Linked DNA regions of Caenorhabditis elegans. The protein of the gene in region 3 purifies or fractionates together with the protein of the main gene of each other region. This does not show direct contact. Each region holds a gene or a part of one and is shown on either strand. Other genes may lie near its edges.

Evidence for each region.
Region 1: the proteins of szy-20 (region 3) and kin-3 purify together in Caenorhabditis elegans (affinity purification with western blotting; one study listed by BioGRID). This does not show direct contact.
Region 2: the proteins of szy-20 (region 3) and let-92 purify together in Caenorhabditis elegans (affinity purification with western blotting, with the first as the bait; one study listed by BioGRID). This does not show direct contact.
Region 4: the proteins of szy-20 (region 3) and atx-2 purify together in Caenorhabditis elegans (affinity purification with western blotting; one study listed by BioGRID). This does not show direct contact.

Annotation. Positions count from the first base shown.
Region 1 is NC_003279.8:10,731,799-10,737,296, forward strand, and holds kin-3 (Casein kinase II subunit alpha), read left to right. Parts: upstream 1-2,223; 5' UTR 2,224-2,240; coding exon 2,241-2,279; intron 2,280-2,344; exon of another isoform or gene 2,345-2,458; intron 2,459-2,522; coding exon 2,523-2,693; intron 2,694-2,752; coding exon 2,753-2,880; intron 2,881-2,929; coding exon 2,930-3,014; intron 3,015-3,073; coding exon 3,074-3,370; intron 3,371-3,827; coding exon 3,828-3,952; intron 3,953-4,007; coding exon 4,008-4,089; intron 4,090-4,286; coding exon 4,287-4,442; 3' UTR 4,443-4,817; downstream 4,818-5,498. Other genes in the region: rpn-10 (26S proteasome non-ATPase regulatory subunit 4), read right to left, coding at 1-56, 376-516, 568-593; mrpl-9 (Large ribosomal subunit protein bL9m), read right to left, coding at 840-995, 1,043-1,366, 1,415-1,539, 1,590-1,755, 1,801-1,860; nfs-1 (cysteine desulfurase), read left to right, coding at 4,951-5,019. UniProt on the Caenorhabditis elegans protein: Casein kinases are operationally defined by their preferential utilization of acidic proteins such as caseins as substrates. The alpha chain contains the catalytic site. May participate in Wnt signaling.
Region 2 is NC_003282.8:11,856,721-11,861,375, reverse strand, and holds let-92 (Serine/threonine-protein phosphatase 2A catalytic subunit), read right to left. Parts: upstream 2,935-4,655; 5' UTR 2,931-2,934; coding exon 2,802-2,930; intron 2,756-2,801; coding exon 2,546-2,755; intron 2,492-2,545; coding exon 2,429-2,491; intron 2,384-2,428; coding exon 2,195-2,383; intron 2,091-2,194; coding exon 1,917-2,090; intron 1,864-1,916; coding exon 1,672-1,863; 3' UTR 916-1,671; downstream 1-915. Other genes in the region: mob-1 (Mob1/phocein), read right to left, coding at 233-359, 695-818.
Region 3 is NC_003280.10:8,966,190-8,971,023, reverse strand, and holds szy-20 (SUZ domain-containing protein), read left to right. Parts: upstream 1-1,696; 5' UTR 1,697-1,730; coding exon 1,731-1,746; intron 1,747-1,788; coding exon 1,789-1,865; intron 1,866-1,918; coding exon 1,919-2,004; intron 2,005-2,060; coding exon 2,061-2,508; intron 2,509-2,588; coding exon 2,589-2,897; intron 2,898-3,017; coding exon 3,018-3,631; intron 3,632-3,685; coding exon 3,686-3,827; 3' UTR 3,828-4,103; downstream 4,104-4,834. Other genes in the region: C18E9.5 (uncharacterized protein), read right to left, coding at 67-188, 236-320, 798-858, 905-936; sec-62 (Translocation protein SEC62), read right to left, coding at 4,370-4,435, 4,485-4,807. UniProt on the Caenorhabditis elegans protein: RNA binding protein that is required for normal cell division and cytokinesis during embryonic development.
Region 4 is NC_003281.10:10,459,694-10,467,689, forward strand, and holds atx-2 (Sm domain-containing protein), read left to right. Parts: upstream 1-1,695; coding exon 1,696-2,031; intron 2,032-2,079; coding exon 2,080-2,371; intron 2,372-2,494; coding exon 2,495-2,756; intron 2,757-3,075; coding exon 3,076-3,249; intron 3,250-3,303; coding exon 3,304-3,539; intron 3,540-4,762; coding exon 4,763-5,122; intron 5,123-5,175; coding exon 5,176-5,397; intron 5,398-5,632; coding exon 5,633-6,042; intron 6,043-6,179; coding exon 6,180-6,494; intron 6,495-6,601; coding exon 6,602-6,893; intron 6,894-7,348; coding exon 7,349-7,561; intron 7,562-7,610; coding exon of another isoform or gene 7,611-7,618; coding exon 7,619-7,719; downstream 7,720-7,996. Other genes in the region: ecps-1 (Proteasome component Ecm29 N-terminal domain-containing protein), read right to left, coding at 77-220, 267-391, 446-556, 615-736, 785-857.

The DNA.
Region 1 (5,498 bases), on a different chromosome or scaffold from region 3:
TCTTCATCATCAAACGTCCTTGTTCTGTGGACAGACTTGACAATACTTGAACACTGCTGAAAAGGAAAACATTGAAAAATTTCATGTGTTACCGGAAATCAGTGATTTTTGCGCCAAAAAACGGTACTGGGTCTCGACAGGACATTTTTCGCTAAATACAAACGGATGTGCACCTTTAAAGAATACTGTAACTTCAAACGTTGTTACTGAATTTTCATCGATTTTCCAATGAAAATTCTAGAACGGCGAAAGTTTGAAACTACCGTACTCCTCAAAGGGGCACACCTTTTTGCATTTAACAAAATATCTTCGTGTCGAGACCAGGTACCGTCATTTTAGCGCAAAAAAACGTTCGAGTTTGAGTAATATACGAACTTTGCCATTGACAGAATTCCAACAGCATTCTCCGGATTGGCACGCAACTTGCATTGTGTAACAAGATTTACTGCATCCTGTTGAGATTGGAGCCGAGTTGGTTGGAAATCTCCGTTGCGCATGTATTCCGAATTGTCGACACTGAAAAGTAAATAATATTGCCATTGTTCGTATTATTCAAGAAAAACTCACCAAATCATAGTACTTTCTTGAACCATTTTGGAAATGTGTTGAGCACCTTTGTATGAACTCTGTAGAATGTGAGAAATAAAATTAAATTTAAAACAGTTTGACGAATAAATGAAGGAAGATATTAAACGGTGATTAAACCGTGAGCAAATAAATTAAAAATTATTTGAAGAATCAAATACAAATAAAATCGATTTTTTTCAAACAACAAAACAAGAATAACAAAAATAAAGAATTGAAACACATTAAATCTAGTCTGATTGATTATTAGAATTCTAATGTGGAGTTGTTGGTGCATGCTCTTTCATGTGCTCGAAAATTGGGAAATCTTCCGTGAAATCGTTATTTTTACTGTACAATGGGAACTCTTTTCGGATGGAATATCGAGCCAATTCCTCGTCACGTGGTGTTGTCAGTGTAGGAGAAATCATCTGAAAAAGGGAAATTCAATAATTTTCTACAACTTTTCAATCTTTACCTGTTTGGATTCATCTACTGAAATATGTGTAATCCTTCCTAACATAGGAACAATGTATTGTTGATTTACAACAACGTAGAATCGGAATAGTTTTGCTTCGATATCAAAATTCGGGCCAGAAATTGGTTTAGCGGCGAGGAAAATTGTATTTTCAGCAACGAAAACTCCCATTTGACGAAGTGAGCTTTTTACAAGATTCCTATCAATCGTCCATTGATTTTCCATATTAACTTTGATTGGAATGACCATTTTTTGCAAATCTCGTCCAACCACTTTGAGCTCATATGGAATTCTGATTCGAGAAGCAAGTTCTTCAGCCATTCGCTGAAATTATTATTTGATTGAAAAATATAAATTAACATTAAAACCCACTGTTTTCATATCTGAATAGTACTTTAAATCAAACGGCGACGCGTAGACGGCTTTTTTAGATAATAGTAAATCCTTTCGGGCCAAAGTCCGATCCACACTAACCACATCGAACTGATGGCCAATTCCTGTAAAAATGAATTTTTTACATTTGCTTTCTTTTATTTTAAAAAACTACCTTCAACATCTTGAAGTAAAATCACATTAATCGGACCAGCGGATTTTTGTGTTTCGAACTCAACAACTTCGTATTTCTGGTAATCGTGGAAATCATTGGGATTTTTCTGTACTCCGCCGGGCGGTGTGACTTCTGGTTGGAATACTCGGCGCAATACCCATGTGTTCTGAAGAAAAACATAAAATAACTTATTAATTGCTTCAGAACTTACTCGGCTTGCCTGGCGATTAATATGTTGCACAAATCGATGAAGCTGTGAAGCTGAAAGCATAATTACCTGAAAATATCAATTTTAATTAAGTGTTTCGCTGAAAATAAAGTGATTTCATTCTAAAATACAGAAATAGATGAGAAAAGAAAATGCGCGCCGTTGTCGATGATGACAAATTTAAAGGCACACCGACTTTCGCAGCGGGAATATCTCACCACGCACGAGTTCACATTTGGTTTTTTCTCTGCGCTCTCTCGCATTTGCGTACTCTTTTCATGTTCTGGCATGTATTTTCAAAATTATTCGGGTTTTATCAGTTTTCCCGAGATTTTACTATTTCTACTGAAAATTTCGTTCTAATAATTCAATTATAACAGCCGTTTTGTCAAAACTTGCTCAAAAATAACGTGTTACTTGTTTCAGATCGTTATTCTTGGGAAATGCCTCCGATTCCTAGCCGGGCGAGGGTCTACGCCGAGGTGAGCAAGTTTGTATAGCCAGGAGTTAATTATTGAACAGAATATATTGCTCATACATAACTCACAATGACGGAATTAACGTTATCCGTTTAGTTGTGGAATACTGTGAAACACTGTACGCCACATTTGTTAGATTTTATAAATGTTCATAGGAATTTATAGTCTCGTAAAGAAAAACTATTTGTAAAAGTCACTAAATTATGTTTTTATGAGTTTATATATTATAAATCACAATTGTTTCAGGTGAATCCGTCGAGACCACGCGAGTACTGGGACTATGAGGCTCACATGATCGAATGGGGACAAATCGATGATTATCAGCTGGTACGCAAGTTGGGACGTGGAAAATATTCGGAGGTTTTTGAAGGATTCAAGATGAGCACTGACGAGAAAGTTGTTGTCAAGATTCTCAAGGTAAGTTTTACAAAAATAATTGTAATAAAGCTTTCAAAATGTAATTTGTTTGTTTTCAGCCAGTCAAAAAGAAGAAGATCAAGCGTGAGATTAAAATTTTGGAGAATCTTCGTGGCGGGACAAACATCATCACCCTCCTCGACGTCGTCAAGGATCCTATTTCGAGAACTCCGGCTCTTATTTTCGAGTTGGTTTACTATTTGAAGATTTTTAGAATTAATAATTTCTATTTGAAGGCATGTTAACAATTCGGACTTCAAGCAATTGTATCAAACCCTCAGTGACTATGATATCCGTTACTACCTCTACGAGCTCTTGAAGGTACTTTTTTCAGCTGTCCATTAATTTTTGAATTCATAACGTTTCAATTTATTCTCCAGGCTCTCGACTTCTGCCATTCTCAAGGAATTATGCACAGAGATGTTAAGCCGCACAATGTGATGATTGACGCCGAAAAACGGGAACTTCGATTAATAGATTGGGGATTAGCCGAATTCTATCATCCAAGACAGGACTATAATGTTCGTGTTGCTTCTAGATATTTCAAGGGACCCGAGCTTCTTGTCGATTATCAATGTTACGATTATTCGTTGGATATGTGGAGTTTGGGATGCATGTTGGCTAGTATGATCTTCAGGAAGGAACCATTCTTCCACGGCCATGATAACTACGATCAGGTAAGCACTTTAAGCTGAAGTAGCAAAGAACCGCAAATCCACAAATTTCATTAAAATCCAATATTGGAATATAGAAAACATTTGATTTATCTGATTATGGCTTTTATTTCAGTGAGAACAATGGGGAAAAACGCTTAAAAAATTACCGGAAAGTTTAAAATTTCCGAAAAAAACCGAAAATTTTCCAATTTTGAGCATTTTTCAATTGTTCCAGCTGCAAAAAACTATTTTCAGATAAAGAAATTATTTTTTTGAATTCCATAGCTAAAATTTTACTGATAAGTTTGGCTTATTCCGTAGAATTTCTTGCCGGCGATTGATTCGCACCCCTGAGCTGAAATTTAAATGAATAAATAATATTGTCAGGTATTTATTAAATATTCATCAATAATTTTTATGATTTTTAATATTTTATAAATTCACGAAATCTGATTTTCTTATAAAAAGTTTTTTGCAGCTAGTCCGCATTGCAAAGGTATTGGGAACTGATGAGCTTTACGAGTACATTGCGAGATATCACATTGATCTCGATCCACGCTTCAACGATATTCTCGGGCGACACTCAAGAAAACGCTGGGAAAGGTATATTTTGATCGAAGCGAAGTTTCATGTTTTTCTTAAAATTCATTTGTTGTAGATTTATCCACGCTGAAAATCAACATCTTGTCACCCCAGAGGCTCTTGATTTCCTTGATAAACTTCTTCGCTACGATCACGCGGTAAGAATCGGAAAAAAGAGAAATTACACCAAATTAGTTACTGAAAACCAGTTTTAACAAGAACACAGAGAAATAAAAACAATTTTCACTTGTTTTATTGAAAAAAAAGACATTTGATACTCGAAACTAACTATAAATACTTTTATTTGTTAAATTAATTTATTTCCAGAACTTTTAATAAATTTCACCATATTCAGGAACGCCTAACTGCTCAAGAGGCCATGGGTCACGAATACTTCCGCCCAGTTGTTGAAGCACATGCTCGTGCCAATGGAACTGAACAAGCTGACGGACAGGGTGCATCGAATTCCGCTTCTTCTCAATCCTCCGATGCCAAAATTGACGGCGCTTAAAATTTCTTTCTATTTTTTTTTTAATTTTCCTGTTGACTATTTCCTTTTTTATTAATTTCCACACCACTCCTCTCCATCATTATTCCTTTGCTCTAAAAATTGGCTAAGATATTAAATCTTCCCCGCTTCTCCGAAAATTTCCCTCTACGTACCACAAAAGTGCCTAATCTTTTCGTGAGAAACGTTCTTTGCAAATTCTATTTTTAGGATTTTTTTGTGTAATTCATGCCTCTGAAATTCCGTTTCAATTTTAAATCTTTTTTGTCCCATTTCATATTGTTCTCCTTCTTCTCCCCTTTCCTCTTCCTCAAACAACCACAATCATCATTTTTATAAATCGAATCACAGTTCGTGAGAAAAAAAACTGTTACTTGTAATCAATATTGTCTTTGGTTTGAAAAACCTACTATTGTTCCTATGTTGAGTTGTGAACTATGTTCACTTTTAGAGTTTTAGATTTAAAATGCTCAACGGACGAGTGCTCCTTCGATCGATTGCTCGCCGGACAATGGCATCGAAAATTGAGCCAGGATCTCCGCAGCCGATTTATTTGGATGTTCAGGCTACCGCGCCAATGGTAATTAAATGGAAATAATAAAGCATGATTAAAAATAATATAAAAAACTTGTATCTGGAAAAAATTAACGAAACTTTTCAGATACAATTTAGATTTCGAATGAGTTTTTTTCTAACCTAGGCACAGTTTAAGCTAGTAGGCATTCTAAAATTGCGGCTTATGGCCTAAAAAGGGCCTAAGCGAACAAAACCAGCAATAAATTATGATAATTATATGAAAACTGATTTACGACAGCGCTGCGACACTGAAAATATGACATTTTACAATACTTTGAACCCATATAATATTTTTTTTTTTATTTTTCATAAATTTTCAGAACATTTCATTGCGAAATTCAGTAGTTTGAGACCATTTTTGGTATTTAAAAAACCAATTTCTCAGTTTTCGGTTCTCTAAATGTGACTAAATTATTTTATTTCCAATTTAAGTGAAATCGTAGCTTAAGAAACTAGGAAAAAAATGTGCTGGGATTTTTTTTG
Region 2 (4,655 bases), on a different chromosome or scaffold from region 3:
GAGATATTTTGCGCGTCAAATATGTTGCTTCAAAGTCATAGAATTTGAGAAAAAGTGCACTATATATATTTTTTGCTGCAAAATTGAAAAAAAAAACCGAGCAAATTTTAAACAATTATATACGTTTTACAGTTAGATTATGTATACTGAAACGGTTTTCTGCAATTTTAAGAATTTTCAAAATATTGAATTTTGATAACCAAGAATTACGGAAAAACTTAGAAAAGCTTACAATGTTCCTTCACTGGTCCAAGTATATTGTCTTCCATGTGCTGTCATCGATGGACACTTTGAATCGGTACATTCGGATTCGCAGAGAACTCCGAAAACCATTCGAACTTGATTTACCAGATCGATTACTGAAAAAATGCGCTTTTTTTTTGGAATTTTTCAAAAATAAAATTAAAAAAGAAAACTTATAGAAACTGTATGTTTCCGCTTTTTTAAAGGGAGAACCAAAATTGAGAAATAGTCTCGCCGCGCGTCAGTGTTTATTTGTTTTCGTGTACGCGCCTTTAAGATTACTGTAGGAAATTTATCCAATTTTTTGTATTTTTTGAGAAAATTGGATCAACTCGAAAAAAATCACAATTAGCAGTTTTTGTTTTATTATAAATTATTTTTTGTTTTATTACAAATTATTATTACCAAGCTGTGCAAAAAAATGTCAAAGTTTTTTTTAGCAAAAACTTACTATTTACGGCGAGCCATTCATTTTTATCTTCCCCTGGTGGAAGTTTCAGAGCGTCACGAAGATTTCCACTTCCTAACGTTGAAACTGCCATTGGATTGCACCATGATGAACTTGGTTCACTCATTTTCTGGAACCAAAATAATTCGATTTAAAGTTTTTTCTTTCACCAAGACAAGTATTGTTTTATGCTTTCTACATTGCAATCGAAAATTCAAAACTTTGATGTGGACACAGTTTATTGATCATTGATGATAAACAAAATGTTGATGGGGCAAAAATAATATTATAATTAAACAAAATGGGGGAATAAAATAGTGGAAAAGGGAGAGATGTTGTCCATTCGCATTTTGTGATAATAATCATAAGAAACAAGGAAGACGGGAAGTGGTGAAAAGGATGGGATGGAGGGGAAAATAGTGTAAGAATATGGAAGGAAAAGAAAAAGAGTAAAGAAATGTTGGAAGCGAACGCCGTACAGCGCGTGCGCGGAGAAGATCGCAACTTTTCTCACACGGGGATGACTGAAAAGAATATTGATTGCTTCATTGAGTGAAGGAAGAGAACCGAGTGCTAAGGTTGACACGAGATGTCGGAGATATTTTTTCAGTAATGGCTAATGATTCCGCCAAACTCTTCCCACCACATTAATTTACATGAACAATGAAATTTTCATCCCTATCATCGCATCATTTGAGAAGAGAAGCACGGTTTGATCGCCTAAATTTTGGTAGAGGACAAGAGAATGGAACAAAAAAGATAGATGAAGAACACAACAATCATTTCGAGCAACTTCAGAAGAGATGGGATTGTCAAATAGGATGGTGTTGGGCAACGATACAAAAACAACGATATTCTATATAATGACTGAAACGATGAAAAAGAGGAAAAGTGAGAGAAAGTATTGAAATTAATTGGGTAAGGGGGATAATACGGAAAAAAAAGAAAATGAAAACGGCGATTTGAACGGAGGTATCTATCTACAGGAAGTAGTCAGGCGTTCTGCGAGTAACATGTGGTTCTCCTCTTCGAGGGGCAGGGTCGAATTGCAAGAACGAATATTTGAGATCGTCGTCCAGCTCCACCATCGCTGCCTGATTTCCACAACGATAGCAGTAGTTTGGTGCTGAGAACACTGTTACCACGTTACGATCGTGACTCCAGTTGTATCCCTAAACATATTTATATCATTGCAAAATTATATCGATTTGAAATAATTTCTCACCTCCATGACAAGTTGATGGGCCCGAGAAATTAGAGTAAGTCCATTGGAATGGTTGAACGTCTCCGAGATATCCTGACCGAATGTGTATCCTGCTCCACGTGGAGAGATTCCCCAGCCACCTCTGTCATCTGGATCAGACCAGAGAAGATCGCACATTGGTCCTTCGTGTGGAACCTTTAAAAATATATGATTTTCGGTGATGAAAATGTTAGAACTTTTCTATTATTGAAATATTTCAGGCTAGTAACTATTAAAGGTAGATTTCCACAATAACTTACCTCTTGAATGCGGTCAAGAGCTCTGATGTGATCAAGAGTATCAATAGACGGTGAAAGACCTCCGTGAAGGCAGAAGATTTGACCATCAACAAGAGCGGTAAGTGGGAAACAGTCGAAGAGATCAGTGAAGTACTTCCACACATTCGAGTTTCCATATTTCCTCAAACACTCGTCATAGAACCCGTAGACCTAACAAGAAAATAATAATTTTTGAAATAAATTGATTTTAATTACCTGAGTGATTTGTCGCGACTCGTGATTTCCGCGGAGCAGTGTTACTCGATCCTTGTATCGAATCTGAATTTTTAAAGATGTTATAATAATTTCCATACTATATTGTGATAACTGTACCTTCAAACAGACAAGCAGACTAACTGTTTCGACGGAATAATACCCCCGGTCGACGTAGTCTCCCATGAAAAGGTAATTCGTGTCAGGACTCTTTCCACCCATTTTGAACAGCTCCATCAGATCGTGGAATTGACCGTGAACGTCACCACACACTGTCACAGGGCACCGGACTTCTTGCACATTCGGCTCTTTTTCCAAGATCTCTTTCGCCTTAAAAAAATTAATTTTTGACAATCACAAAACTGTATCAACAAACCTTTTCGCATAACGTTTTGACTTGATTCTCCGATAGTGGTTTACATTCGTATAACTGCTCAATCCACTGATCTACATCGACGATTAGTGCTTTATCAAGCGGATCCGCAGATGGTGGGGCAGCAGCCATACTACTGAAAACTTATTTGTTGGTCAAGAAATTAGAAGTATAAAAAAGTTTGAATGATAAGAACGCATAGAGAAAGAAGAAAGACAACGTGGGCAGCTATAGCAACGGAGCACGAGTCGGAGAAAGCGTGAAGAGCAGAAACTCACGCTGTTGCCTCACAGTCAATACTTTTCAGCGGATTCTTCTTTCCGTATAAACTGATAGGATTGCAAGACAAAAGGGATTAAGTGCCCCTTGCTCCAACAGCATCTTATAACGAAAAAGAAAACGTCACAATTGGAGGAGAGACAGTTAATGAAATGATGTAAAGCACAAGTTTTAAAAAAGACGGAAAATCAATCGTGAACAGGTTAAGAAAAGAAAACAAGAACATAGAAATAAAATGTGTAGTTTTTATGGATTATTTTTCAATGTTACTAAATGCCAGACCGGATTAGTTACTAGTGTCAAAAAGTGTCCATTCTCAATTTTAGACGAAGAAGTGAAAGATGAACAACAATCACGCGCTGAAAAATATTCATAGGAAAAAGAGGAAATCGATAACTCGCTGTTTGCGTTTCTACCTCCCACCAAACCATACGGAATTTCATTCCGTTCCGATAAGGCAAAGAACAAATGTTGTTAATTATGTTTCACAATAGGGGTCAATCTATGTTCTAACGAGAATTAAAATATTTTAATTGTTAGGCAAACGTTGATACGGTAAAAAACCTAATTATGTAACTGAAACTCTTCAAATGAAAAAAAAAATCATAAAACTGTGTTTTTTTTGCCTTATTTTCGGTGAATCATAATCAATATTCAATGGGCAAAAGCCAATTGTAATGGGAACACGTGAGAACGGAATAAATGAATTTAACATTAGTGGAAGACATCAAAATGATAGAGAACGCGGGATGATCGAGTACGACAAAATTGTTGTTTTGTGAGGAGAGCGAGGCGGAGAAAGCAGGGCTGCAGAGAGATGCGGGGCCCGCCAATTGGGCAGTGACGGAGGATCAGACGACAGATAGCGAAGGAGCAGCGGCACTCCTGTGCTATAACCAGCCGAGGAACCAATCGCATTGCGAAAGTGACGGAGAAAGAGATGAAAAAGAAAAGATATAAGGCAGAGGAAAGAGCGACCGCATCGCAAGGGCTCGCGTCGCGGTTCACTGCGCTCTACTGAACACCCTCACTGTCTGTTGTTAACAAGACGGAGAGAAGTGAAGAAGTCCTCTTCCTGAACCGATGTTTTCGTTTATTGGCGTTATCGCTGAAGGCGACAACGACGACAGCAGAGGCGTTGTGTGCAGAAAGGAGGTGTGAAAAGGCGAGGATTTAGAGCTCTGGTGACGTGCTAGGGACGGCCAAGTTATGATAGAGGGGCGTACTGAAAAAAATGTTCGAGGTAGAATATTTCTAGAAAAATACATTTCATAACCCAGCAGAATCATGATGACTCATTTATGCGAAATTTCAGAAAAAACGGTATGTTTTAGAAGATGAAACTATCGATTGGCAACTAACGAAGGTTAATGATGTCCGATTTTTTAAATTATTATGTAACAAAATCATTGTTGAAAAAGACCGAAAACTTCAGACAGAAAAAAAAACTGGTGAGCTAATTATAATTCAAATTAAAAGTAGGAATACGATCTAGCGGAATGACAATAGTTTGTTACTAACGGCTCCAGTAACTGAATCTAGTAAACAATATGATTGAAACCGGAGATTTTCAGCATC
Region 3 (4,834 bases):
TCGGAATACTGTAATCTTTCTATTTAGAATTAAACTTGAGAATATCAAGTTAATAATTAGACCTACATCATAATCATTAATAGATCCTGTCCTATTCGACCACGTCAATGTTCCATTGTCACAGTGTTGACTGACATCATAGGAGAAGAAAGTTGAGTTTATAGCGGCTGGGTGTACATACTCCTCTGCTAAAAATACACTTTTAGAATTGATTTTTGTGTTTTTTTGTGCATACATGTGATTACAGAGTATATGATGCATCCAGATGCAAAACCAATGAACACAAGTCCCAGAATAATTTTGATAACTATGGCACTCCACTGAAAGTTTTTACAATTAAACAGATCCTAATGAATCAGAAATTCTTCATAATATATGAATTCTAGTTGTTTCAAGTAGCGTTCGAATGTACAAGCCTGAATAGCTTTTGTGGTTATTCGAAAGCATTTGAATTTCGCTGACGACATATCGTAACTTCGTAAAAAAGTGAAATATTGTTTTAAAGGCGCACGTCGTATCTCTTATTGGGTCCCGCCACGATCTCAGTTGTGCTCGTCGTTACAGGTGCTAACTTGGACAAAATTGTTCATCAGAAATTGAAGTTTGACATTTTCAGGAACGTCATCTCATTCTGGATATTCAATTTTGTGTAAATTTTAGAAACTAAAAAATATTACTGTGTATTTGCACAAAGTAAACAGGAAAATGTTCCAAATAATCTTTTAGTCATTTTCAAATCAAGTAACTACTAGCAAAATCGTGTCATAATGTCTCAAAAAAATTATAATTAAACTCACATCAACAATTTCAGATCTATCAATAATAGATACATTATCCCCATAATCAAAATCATCGATTCTGGAATTAATAAAAAATCCTCCAAATATGAAATCTTAAAACTTACATTCGATGCTCTTTCTCTGAAACGCTCGACATGATACTTTAATGCGCTTCCGTCCAACAAGACAAACGAAAGAGGCTGTGGTCGATTTTCAGTCGGAAATTGATTGAGAGCGAGAATGTGTGTTATCAGTTTGAAATAATGCGGCACGCTTGCCATCTTCCACGAGTCATCCTCTTATCTAATTATAGAATAAATTGCAAATGCGAAAAGAATTATTGCTGATCGGGATGAATTGTTTCAAAGAAAATGCTGGGCACTGAAAGGTCAAAATCCTGTACCGATTTAAATGTAGTAAAATATTTTTTTTTTGAAAATATGAACTCAAAACCTGATTACAGTTGTTCAAAATTGCTTTTTTCGTTTCAAAAATCAATTTCTGTGCCTATAACCTTAGTGGGCGTTTAAAACAGACCATGCGCCTTTAATCAAGAGTACTGTAACCACGCCCACGAAACCGTGCCTCGAGTGATGTTTTGCAACCTGCGCACGGTTTCAAATTTCATTTTTCATGCAGAAATTTTTAAAGATTTTTCGTTTCACGAATGTTAATTTTTAAAATATATTTTTCCCAAACAATTGACAAATTCTGTCGTCTAAAAAAATCTAAATTTGAATTTCCCTCGTTTTACACATTAAAAAAGACGTCATGAACGAGTCTTTGCGCACTTCCCGATTTCTTCTTGCGCTCTCCGCGTGCACTCTCCACCGAAAACGGACCCGTCTTGCTCCGTCGCGAGCACCACTCATTTTGCCGCCCGTTCTCTTTTCATTGATCCATATTTTTTGTTTTACAGCCACACACATTTCCTCTGTTTCTAATTGCGTTATGAGTAAAGAAAATGGTAAGTTAAATGTTCCTAATCATATTTTTAATATTTGCAAAGTTTCTCTAGTTGTCGCCGATAGCTGGGATGATGCAGATGCGGATCCAGTCAAGGAATTAATGGATAAGGTTGAGAAGGTTTGTTCTAAAGTTTATAAAGTTATTTGAAATGTAATTTATATTGATTTTAGGTAAAACTTCTTCAGCGGAAGGAAGAAAAGAAGGAAGCATTTTTTGAGAAAGTAAAAGCAGAAGAGAGTAGCGGTGTCGTTTCGAAGTAAGTTGATATTTAACCGATTAATCGTTTTGCAAATCAAATTTTTATTTTTTCAGACTCCAGACAGAAGAAGGTCTCGGACCATCAGCTGAAGAGCCTAAACGAGTGTTCCTTCGGCGCCCTAAAGATGGTTTTGCTGCATCTGAAAATGTCATCGAAGCATCGCCACCAACATCTGCAGATACAGAAGAACAGCCAGTGACAAACGTCCGATCTCGCTCTCACCACAAATTAAATCAAAAGGAAAAACAACCTGCTCCTACTTATGAGGAACGACAAGCTGCATACCAAGCAGCTCGTAACAGAATTTTGGGAACCGAGTACAAACCCGATAATCAGGAAATCAAAGAAATCAAGTTTATTGATCGCTCCAAATCACCTGAAACTCTCAAAATGACTCAACAAAACATGGTAGAGCACTATGGAGAGGAATTGAGCCGCGAATTAATGGAGCAGCCAGCTGAAATTGTCCCTCCTGAACGGCAATATACTCCAGATTTTACGGTTAGTTTATAAAAACAGTAGCAGGGAATTTAACTCAGTTTTCGTCCTAACCTGTATTACTTTCCTAACCCGATCTAAAGCTTCAGCAGCCACCACCATCGGTATCGGAGAGCGGCGGAGTTTACAATGGACCGCCTGGGTTTCAACAGAAGCAACCAAATTTCCAGCCAACGTTACAACAACAATCGCTTCATCAACAACAGTATTTGGATAATCAGTATATGATGCAGATGAACGTACAAATTCCGATACAGTATCATAATCAGACCCAACATCAGTTTGTTCCGCATGAAGCCTCAGCTATTTCCACAACATCACAAAACAGCAACGGTGATGGTCAAAATGATCAAGCGATATATTATTATCAGGCGCCTACCCAACAGCCAATGGTTTGTTTTTTTGTTGTTGTGATTGTAACCACTCCTTTCTAATTGAATGATTTATTTGGTTAATACCATAAAAATATGACAAAATAATGGACGATTCAAATAACCTATTAATAGTTTCAGAACTACATTCCGTACAATCTACCAAACATGGCCTACCCACCTCCAAACTTCCAACCCCAAGGACAACTGCACCATCAAATGAATGCAGGACAACTACACCAAATTCAACAACAACAGCAACAATGCCAACAGATTCAACATCAACCGCCTCAGCAACACCAACAGGTTATAAATGGCCAAGTGATGAATCAACAGAACCAAAGAAATCAGGTGAATAGTTATCCACAGCAGAATGGTGCTGGTCGTGGACAGAATCGACAGCCGATGATGTATCAGATGCCATGCAACAGTGGGCCGACAGCAAAGCCCCCGCCGTTGATGAATCAAATGCAGAATAGATGTATGACCAACAATGGTCAAAACTATCAGAATAGGAATATGCAGCAGCAAGGTCAGCAGCGATCATATTCGTCACAGCCTCAGAATGGTCAGTTCTACCAAAACGGAAATTCCAACCAGAACAATCCGAATAATGGTAGAAAACAGCAGCATCAGCCACAGCAGCAGCAGAACAAATCAGGAAAATTCGGACAGAATAGAAATGATATGCAAAAGAACAATTATCAACCAAATCTACAGCAACCTCCGATGAGTCAAAATCCAATTCCATTTGGGTGAGTTTCAATTACTTGGCTCATTTTAAAATATTGTTAACATTCTTTTTGCAGATGCCCACCACGTAATGTGAATGCGATTCGAGAACAACACGCAAACAATGGATCCCCAAACACTGGCGCTGGAATTCTTGGACCACATCCAATGATGTCTGCATCCCAATGGCCAGCGTTGCAGCAGAATCGGCCTCAATAGTTTGTTATTCCATTCTACGAACACTCTATAGACAATTCATGCTTTAACCACGTCTTTTTGATGTGCTGTGATGGTCATCTTTTCACATTTATCTCCCTTTTCTTGTTCCATCAGTCCGATTCGGAATTGTGTTAATCAACACGGGTCGTACTTCCTCTTTCTCCCCCCATCTCCACATATTTATATCATTATTTTCTACATTCATTTTGGCATGTTTCAAGTTATTCAATTTTCTATTGTTATATGAGCCAAGTTTGATGAAGAAATTATCTTGTTTGACTTTTGTATAGACCAATTTATTATATGTCCAATAGTGGACCGAAACGGAAACATTCAGATTTTAGTTATGCAAGAACAATGAAGAGTGACTGAGAAAGAAGAAACTAGCCAAGAGGGTAATCACAGTATGGAAGAATGGGACGAAAAATAGTATTTAAAATGTGACGAAACCGACAGGATGAGGGTAATGCAATAGATTTTCAGGACAAGTTTTCATAAATGCAGAAATGTGGAATGGAAAAATTTCAGGATAAACTAAATTTCTAGACTTTAGCTGGACGACGTTTTCGAGGAGCATCGTCACTTGGTGATGGTGGAGCAGAGATTTCCTAAATTTCAAAATTATAATTATTTAAATTGAAACACTTATCAGATTACCTCGTCTTCAATTTTTTCATAATTATCATCAGTTGATGCCTGACTATTTTTTTCAGCATCATCGTCTTCTTCCTCTTTTTGCTCCTGTTCAGCAGCAATGTGGTCTTGCTCCTCCTCTTCTGCATCAGAATCCTTTTCTTTTTTCGACTTTTTATCTTTCTTATCTTTCTTAGCTTCTTTCTTCTCATCACCAACATACTCATAAGTATACCATGGTTGGAATGATTCAAGAACTCCACAGTCTTCAGTCAAGTTCGGCAGAACCCAGAGTTTGTGTTTTCCGAAAGTAACAGCGTAGATAATTCCGAAAAGAATAGTACGGACTGAAAATAATCGAAAAATGAATATTA
Region 4 (7,996 bases), on a different chromosome or scaffold from region 3:
TGTAAAATTAACAAAATGCTAGGCATGTTTCAGATTAAAACCAGGAAATTCGCTTCTGAAAACTGAAATTACGTACATGCTTCGTGCAGAGAACACGAGAATCGCCTGAAAGCATCTGGCAATGATTTCCACGTCGACAGAGCTCATCTCGATCGTCGGCCAGTGTTTTTTCTCGATTCTCGCGAGCTCGTGGAGTCCCGGCAGGCACAACGAGAGAATGCTGGAAAAAATTATATAGAAAATATAAATAGTTCTACTTTACTTACTCGTAAATGTAATTGAGATCATTGGGCTTCTTGCTGAACGATGTCAAGTATACAGGCAGAAACTCTAGCTGCTCGGCGGCCTGGATCCGGTCTTTTGCCATTTTGAGATAGATCAGACTGAAATTCTGGAAAAAATATTAATTTTTTGGGTTATACATCGTCTGGAGAACGCTACAAACCGATGAAATGGCACTCGGGCCTTGGAAAAGTTCGAGCAGACGTGGCACTGGGAGACGGATCGCCAAATTGCTCTTGACGACTTTGTTGAAGTGTGTGAGAAATTCGGTGACCTGGAATCACGAATTTTAGTCATTTTGAATCAAATTTCAGCGAATTTTTGCGTCTTACCAGCTGAATGTGCTCCTGCTTTCTCCCGGCAAACTCCAACACATCGCACAAGTGCCGATCTGTGATAGTTTGTAGCTTGGCGTCCGAGTTGGCGTTGACGAGCCGCAGGAAGACTCTTTCCACTGAAAATTTCAAGTTCATTATGTAAATTAGAAGCTAGACTAGCTTACCATCATTTGCTGAGTCGAGAGACGTCAGCGAAGCTGATTCTCTGGGAGCATCGACTTCCATTGGGCTTTCCATGCTGAAAATACTAAATATTTAGCGTTTTACGAAGAAATTAACGTCGAAAAATGAAGAAATTACACTGAAATTGCTAAAAATTGTTCAAAACAATACGAGAAACTCGGTTTTTCCGCAAAAAGTAAAATGTTCTTGAATTTATTCCAAAATGTCATCAAAAATATTTTTATTTTCAGTCTGCGTCTCTCTTCATCGTGTCAATGGGGCGAACTTGACAAGAGACGTCACAGAACCTTTCTCTACAGAAATTTGAGTCTTGAAAAAAAGACCGAAAAACAGGGGAAATTTTTAAATATTTTTGATGAGCGATAAATTTTAAATTGAGAATTAGTTTTGTTTATTTCAAATTGTATTATCGACAAAGTGTATTGGAAGATAGCGCAGGGAAAGAATTTCTCCGAGTGGGAGTTTCCCCAAAATCTGTGGTGTCAAACAGATAAATATTTCCCAATCGCGAAATTTTGCACGAGAAATGTGGTACCCGGCAAGATAATTTTTTGTCAAATGAAAAAAGTGTGTGCTCCTATGAAGAAATGTCCTATCTTTCTTTTAAGAACAAAATCTGAATTTTGTCAGACCTAATTCAATAAATTGCGGATAAACTTTTTGATTTGGGGAAAATGCTTTTATTCATTGCCCAAAAACTCAACTGTTGAGGCGAAATGTTCATGTTTTACCACTTTCCTTGGAAAAAATCCACTAATTCCCACTATATCGACTTTCCTGAAAACCCCACTGTGTAAAATGCGCGCGGCACACTTGCGAAACCCTGTGCGGCGCACTTGCATAGGGCGGAGTCTCAGGCAATCCCGACGGAAATCGGCGCGTCATTTACCGCATGTGCGTGTCCTCCGCTGTCTGCGTGCTCTCTCGTCTCTCTCTCGAACGTTTTTCAAATTTTTCCGCGAATTTTGTGGATAATTTTCTTCTTGTGGCTCGTTTTGCACGTGGTGAAACCTTGAAAAACGGGATTGTGTTGGAAATTTCAAAAATTTGCCCAAAACTGTTACTCATATTAAACTTCCATTATCGTTGCGAAATTGCTGTTTTTAAAATTCAAATTTTTTCCATTTTCAGGTACATTTCTCCTGTACCCAAACTCTTTGACTGCTCCACAGACAATCTTCTATTTATTTATATTTTATTTGCATCCAAAGTGCGAATGAAAGAAATGGTAAGCGCTGGCAACTTGAAAATTTCTTTAAAAATACAATTTTTCCAGTCAACACCAACGGGTCTTCCTGCGCTAAATGGCGATGTGTTGAGCGCCATCAATGATATGATCGGACGTGTAATTATCATTAATACTACGGACAAAAAGCGATATTCTGGGGTGCTGGGCGCCGTGTCTCAGGATTTCGATTTCGGGATGCAGTGCGTCGTGGAAATTACGAAGGAGAACGAGAATAACTTGCTGAGAACAGAGTCGGAATGCAGAGACAAGATGGTATTTCACTATAGTGATATTGTCGATTTTGCGTACGTTACGCAAGAGATCAAGAAGCAGCATGCTGGTAAGAGCTGTTTCAGGGAACTTTTTCATTAAAAAAAATGCATGACATCTTTAATTTTGGGCCAAGTCGGGTTCACAGTTACGATTTTTAATCCGAAAAAGCTGAAAAACTCTCCATTTTCAGTCAGCAAATTCGTCACCGATAGACAATACCACGGAGATACTCCAATCGAGGGCGAAGAGCTTCAGGAATGGAACGGAGGTGAGGAGGACGGACTCGGAGGATCCATTGAGGACGACGTCGTCGTTGCTGGTGGACAAACCGCCGCTCGTCGCAGCAACAATCACAACAACGGCACCGGATGGTCGGTCAACGACATGTTCGCCGCCAACGAGAAGATGAACGTGGTGTCGACGTTCAAAGAGGATTTAACGCAATACACAACGTAATTTATTTGAATTTTTTCGCTTGAAAAATCCAGGATTTTCGGAGTCTGCAAGCGTTTTTGGGCATCTGAATCTATTTTTTTCAGTTTTGCCTTGAAAAAATCTTGTCACTGAACCATTTTTGCAAAATTTTGCATAAAAATGTCCTGAAAGTTGATAATTGACAATTTTCAGGTTATTTTTAAGCATTTTTTCGAATATTTCTACCGAAATCAGTGTTATTCTCTGATGGATCAAGTGCTTTCCTATATTTTGACCCGATTTTTTAATTTTAATTTTGGAAAACATCGTGCAAAGCAATAAAATCCCAAATTTCAGCGTCGAAGTGGTAGGAACCGACGAAGATCGAGCACGCGCCGAGCGGCTCGCTAGAGAAATTGAGTCCAACTCGTCGTCGAAGTTTATGGCGAACTTGGAGAACGACGACGACGAGCGAGATTTGGACAAAATCACGCGTCAAGAGGATTTCGAGAATGGCAATGGCCGAAAGCGGTTGGAATTCTTTAAAAATTTGAATTTATTAATTTAAAAATTTATTTGTTTCAGCAATAATAACAGCTTCAACCAGCAACAACAACAGCGCCGCAATCCGAATATTGCACCAAACGGGCAGCCAGTGAATCGACGTGCCGAGGGTCTTCGCGGAGATCGTCGTAATAGTGGAAGCTCTTCAGCGAACAATAGTCGCTACGGTGCTCCAGCAGCGGCTCAGCAGAACTATTCACAGAATCAGCAGCAGCAGCAAGGTCAAAAAGGTTATCGCCGCCAGAACGAGGAAAATGGTTCGTGTACATTCCCGAGAGTACAGTGTGTCTCTTTGATCATTATCTCTCTCTCGTTCTCTTTCTCCGCGTCCAACAGTTCTTTTTTCGGTGTATTCCGTTTTCTTGACCCATTTCGCATGACATAATTTCGCTAGCGGCTGCAGCGGTTGTCTTCAGCTGATTAATTGGAGTGTTTTTCCTCGTGGGATGCGGAAAAAAGCGATTTTTTTTTTGCAAATTTTCAGCAAAAAAATCAGATTTTTCCCATCAGAAAACCAATTTTTCATTCTTTCCTCACATTTTGATCACAGAAATACGAAATAATTCTGCAATAGTGTTATTTTCAGTGGAAAAATCGTTTTTTTTTCCGATTTTTGACTGAAAAACGTTTTCTTTGTGTCAGAAAAAACAAGTAAATGCCGATTTTTAAGTGAAAACGCCGAAAAAAAAAATTGAAAAAATGACCGAACGGGTCCCAGTTTATCCATACAAACACACCTGCGTCTCTGATACATGCTTTCATCAAGTCTCTCTCTCTACCTCTGTCTACCTCTCTCTCTCTGTCCGCTTCCTCACCGCTTATCATCTTCATCATCATCATCACAAGTTGGTTGTGTTCTTCTCGAAAAACCGTGTTGTCTATGTTGTGTACCAATCGATCGTTAGGGAGGCGCCACACTTTCTCTCTCTCTCTCATTCCTTTCCGCTCTCTTTTTTCTCGGTGATTTTTTGTTGTTGTGTGTGTGTCTGAATGATGATGAAACATGCGATCGTTCATACCTTTTTTGCCTCCTTTGCAGCTTCACCAGTCCTCAGATCCTTCTAGATAATGGAAATTCCACAGTTTTCGAAGTTTTTAGTGTCTTTTAAAAGAAATCTTGATTTAAATTCCTCTTGAAAATCTGTCAGAATCAGATCAAGAGCATTTTGGTATAGCGTTAAAATACTGTAACCGGTCTCGACACGACATATTTGTGTTTAATGGTATGCACCTTTAAAGAGTACTGTATTTTCAAACTCTTTTTGCTGCGAAATTTCTGTTTTTTCATAGTTTCATATGAATATTCCACAGCAACAAGAGTTTGAAATATTTTTTCAAGGCGCCCACCCTTTTGCATTAAACAAGCTTGTCGTGCCGAGACCGGGTAACGTATTTTTGGTAAAAATTCGATTTTTGATTCCTTAGAAAACAATTTCCGTCGTTTTTGTTTAAACAATGACTCATTCTACTTAATTTTCAGACTGGCAGATGGCCAAGGGGAAGGGCCAGAACCAGGGCCACGACCACTCGTTCCGTCAACAGCAGAAGCAGATGCTGGATCCGAGACCCAACAACAATGTGAAGCCGGCTGACGATAAAGCTCAATCTGCCACCACTGCCACTGCTGCTGCCGGTGGATCCCGTGTGACAGATCTCAAGAACTGGGGCAACGAGTTTTCGATTGCGACGGCTCCAAAGGATCAGGCTCCGGCGGTGCCAGCTGGAAACTCGGGTAGTGCCTGGAATCGCGGACCACCGAGCTCGCTGGTTGCCAAGGGATCATCAAATGAGTCGACTCCACCACCGACAACCAATGGAGAGGAGGCTGAGACTAAAAAAGGTATCTATTTTCTATTTTTCTCAACAAAAATGAACAATTTTGCCAATTTCCAGAAGAAGCTCCATCCACAAGCGTCGATGTGGCAGCTGCACCAGTGCAAAACGTACAGAACGACGCGGAAAAGCATCAGGAAGACGACAATGTTTCCGTTACTTCAGAGAATGATTCAGTGATCACTTCGAAGTCATCGTCGTTCAAATTCAACATCAATGCTCCAGAGTTCAAGCCACGTGTGGCTCCGGCGACTCCAACAGCGACGACTCCAGTGCAAAATGGTAGGAAAACGAACAAAACGGCTTTTTTTCAGTATTTTTGTATCAAAAATTAATACAGAAATGTATGTAGAAAAAAGATAATTTTTGTTGAAAGGTTTGAGAAAGATCTCAAATTGTGTCATTTGAGAGGGAATTTTTAAACCAAAATAAATATTTTTCTAAATACACATAGGTATCAATTTTTGATACAAAAATTTTGGCTGCCAAGACGGAGTTTTAACTCTAAAATTTTCAGAATATCATCCACAACAACAGCCACATCCAGCAATGATGGCTCCACAACAAGGACCACCTGCTCCTGGAATGGGAATGGTTCCACCACACATGGGCGGCCCACAAAATCAAGGTCAACCACCGATGATGATGTGGCAACAGACTGGACAACAGCAACAAGGCGGTGGCGGCTATCCACAGAATCATCAATTCCCAATTCAACATGTCCCAATGCAAGGTGTTCCTGGACAGATGTATGGCCCGGGAGCTGCGACTCCGGTCACTGTTGCTCAGCAGCCAAATCAGCAGCATCAGGTGCCAACCAGTGCGGCTGGTGGTCAGAATCATCAGTTGAGAGATGGAGAGTATCGTGAGAAGCAGCCACTCTACATGCCATATGGACCGCCACAAATGGTTCCAGTCACATCTCAGGTAACCGAAAATTTGGAATATCCCTGTAGAAATAGGGAAAACATTTATTTTTAAAGGCCTTGAATTTTTAGAATTTTAAACTTTTCCTAATCTAAAATTCCTGATTTCTCAATTCCAAAAATTCTAAATTTTTTCAGCAATTCTATCATTCACAGTACCAAGGCCAGATGCAGCAAGCTGCTCCATACCAAATGAAGATGATGCCACAGCAAGCTCCACAGGGTGCCTATCAACAGAGATATCAGCAGCCACAAGTGTACATGATGCCTCCACAGGGTCAGCAGCAGCAGCCGAGATACCAGGGTCCTCCACCACCACAGCAACAGCAACAGCAACAACCGCAGCAACAACAATTCTCCGGAGAGCAAAGTCGCCCACAATCACATCCGAATAGTCAGCCAACGACTCCGGGACCACGTGGCGAGTTGCCAAAGATGAGCGGTGCTCCACAGGTGAGATTTCTTTTTTTTTAAACTTATTCGCATGTTTCCCTCTTTCAAACTTTCTGTGCCTAATAAGATGAAGCTTTTCAATATTGTGACCGTGACTCTATTTTCAGAACGGAAACATGCAGGCCGAGTCGAGCAGCAACGCTAGTCACAGCGGATCGACGAGCTCTCAGTCGGGACAACGAAGCGGATCTCCACCAGGTGCTGTTCCTCCACCACCACCACCACAGCAGCAGCATCAGCAACAACAACATCCACCACATCATGCTCCTCCACACGTCGGAGCACCACCACCACAGATGATGCAGCAGCAGCAGCAACACATTCAACAGTATATGGTGATGCAGGGACCGCATCAAATGCATCCGCAGATCCCTAATTACTATCAGCAGCCTCAGGCATGTTTAATCTCTCTCTTTCTTTCCTTTTTTCAGTGGTATTTTTGATTTTTGGTTTTCTTGTTTTTTTTCCTTTCTTTCAGAAGTTTCAGAACAAAATTGTGATTGACTCTGCTAAATTTTTGTAGATCTGCAAGTTCTACAGCTGAAATCGCCCAGTGAAAAAGGAGAAAAAATTGCCTAATGTTTTTTTTCATACTTTTTTTCTTAAAAATAGCGAGAAAGTTTCGATTCCGACTGTAGAACTTGAATGTGCCCAAATCAACGAAAAATTGGCAAATTTTAGCTGAGATCTCCTATTTCGGCAATTTTTCTGGATAGATTTTTTTTTTGAATTGAATTTTGAGATTTTATTTAAAATTACCATTTTTTGAGAAATATTTGAAAATGTCTCACACTCTATAAAAGAACAAAACCGAGAAAAAAACGTAAATCTAATTTTCAATCATTTTCAGCAAGTATTCTATCCGATGATAATGCCCCAACAGATGCCAATGCAACAGAACCAACATCCTCAACAAAGTCTTATGGGCGAGCGATCTGATCAAGGATTCCCGACGTCGGGATACTTTGACTACCGTACAATGCCAAACTATCAGCAACAACAACAACAGCAACAGCAACAAATGCACCGCCAGAATTCGCTTCCACAGCAGTTCCAAGGCAATCAAGGTAATGTTTTAAATGTTTATAAAGTTCAAATTTCTAACCGTTTATGAAGCTTTGAAGGTGTAAATCCATCTGGTCAACAATCTGGTCCACCACCACCGCCACCACCGTCTCAACAAGGCACACCACGTGATCAGCAGCACTCTCAGAGCCCCCCGTAATCATATCTATATGCGCTCTTCCTGCGCTTTTCAGTGCTTTATATAATGTTTCCCCAATATATATTCATTTTAATATTCTTATTTTCTTCCTTCTCTTCCTTCTTTTCATCAAAAATCCGCTTCTCCCCCCTTCCCCCATGCCACCATCTACAACAACCACAAAAATCTCGTGGAATTCCGAAATTCCGTCATAAACAACAAGATGTGATGTTCTAGTTTTAGAAAAAACCGTGTGTTCTTTGTATCCCCTCTTGTGGGTAAAGTTCACACCGCCAAT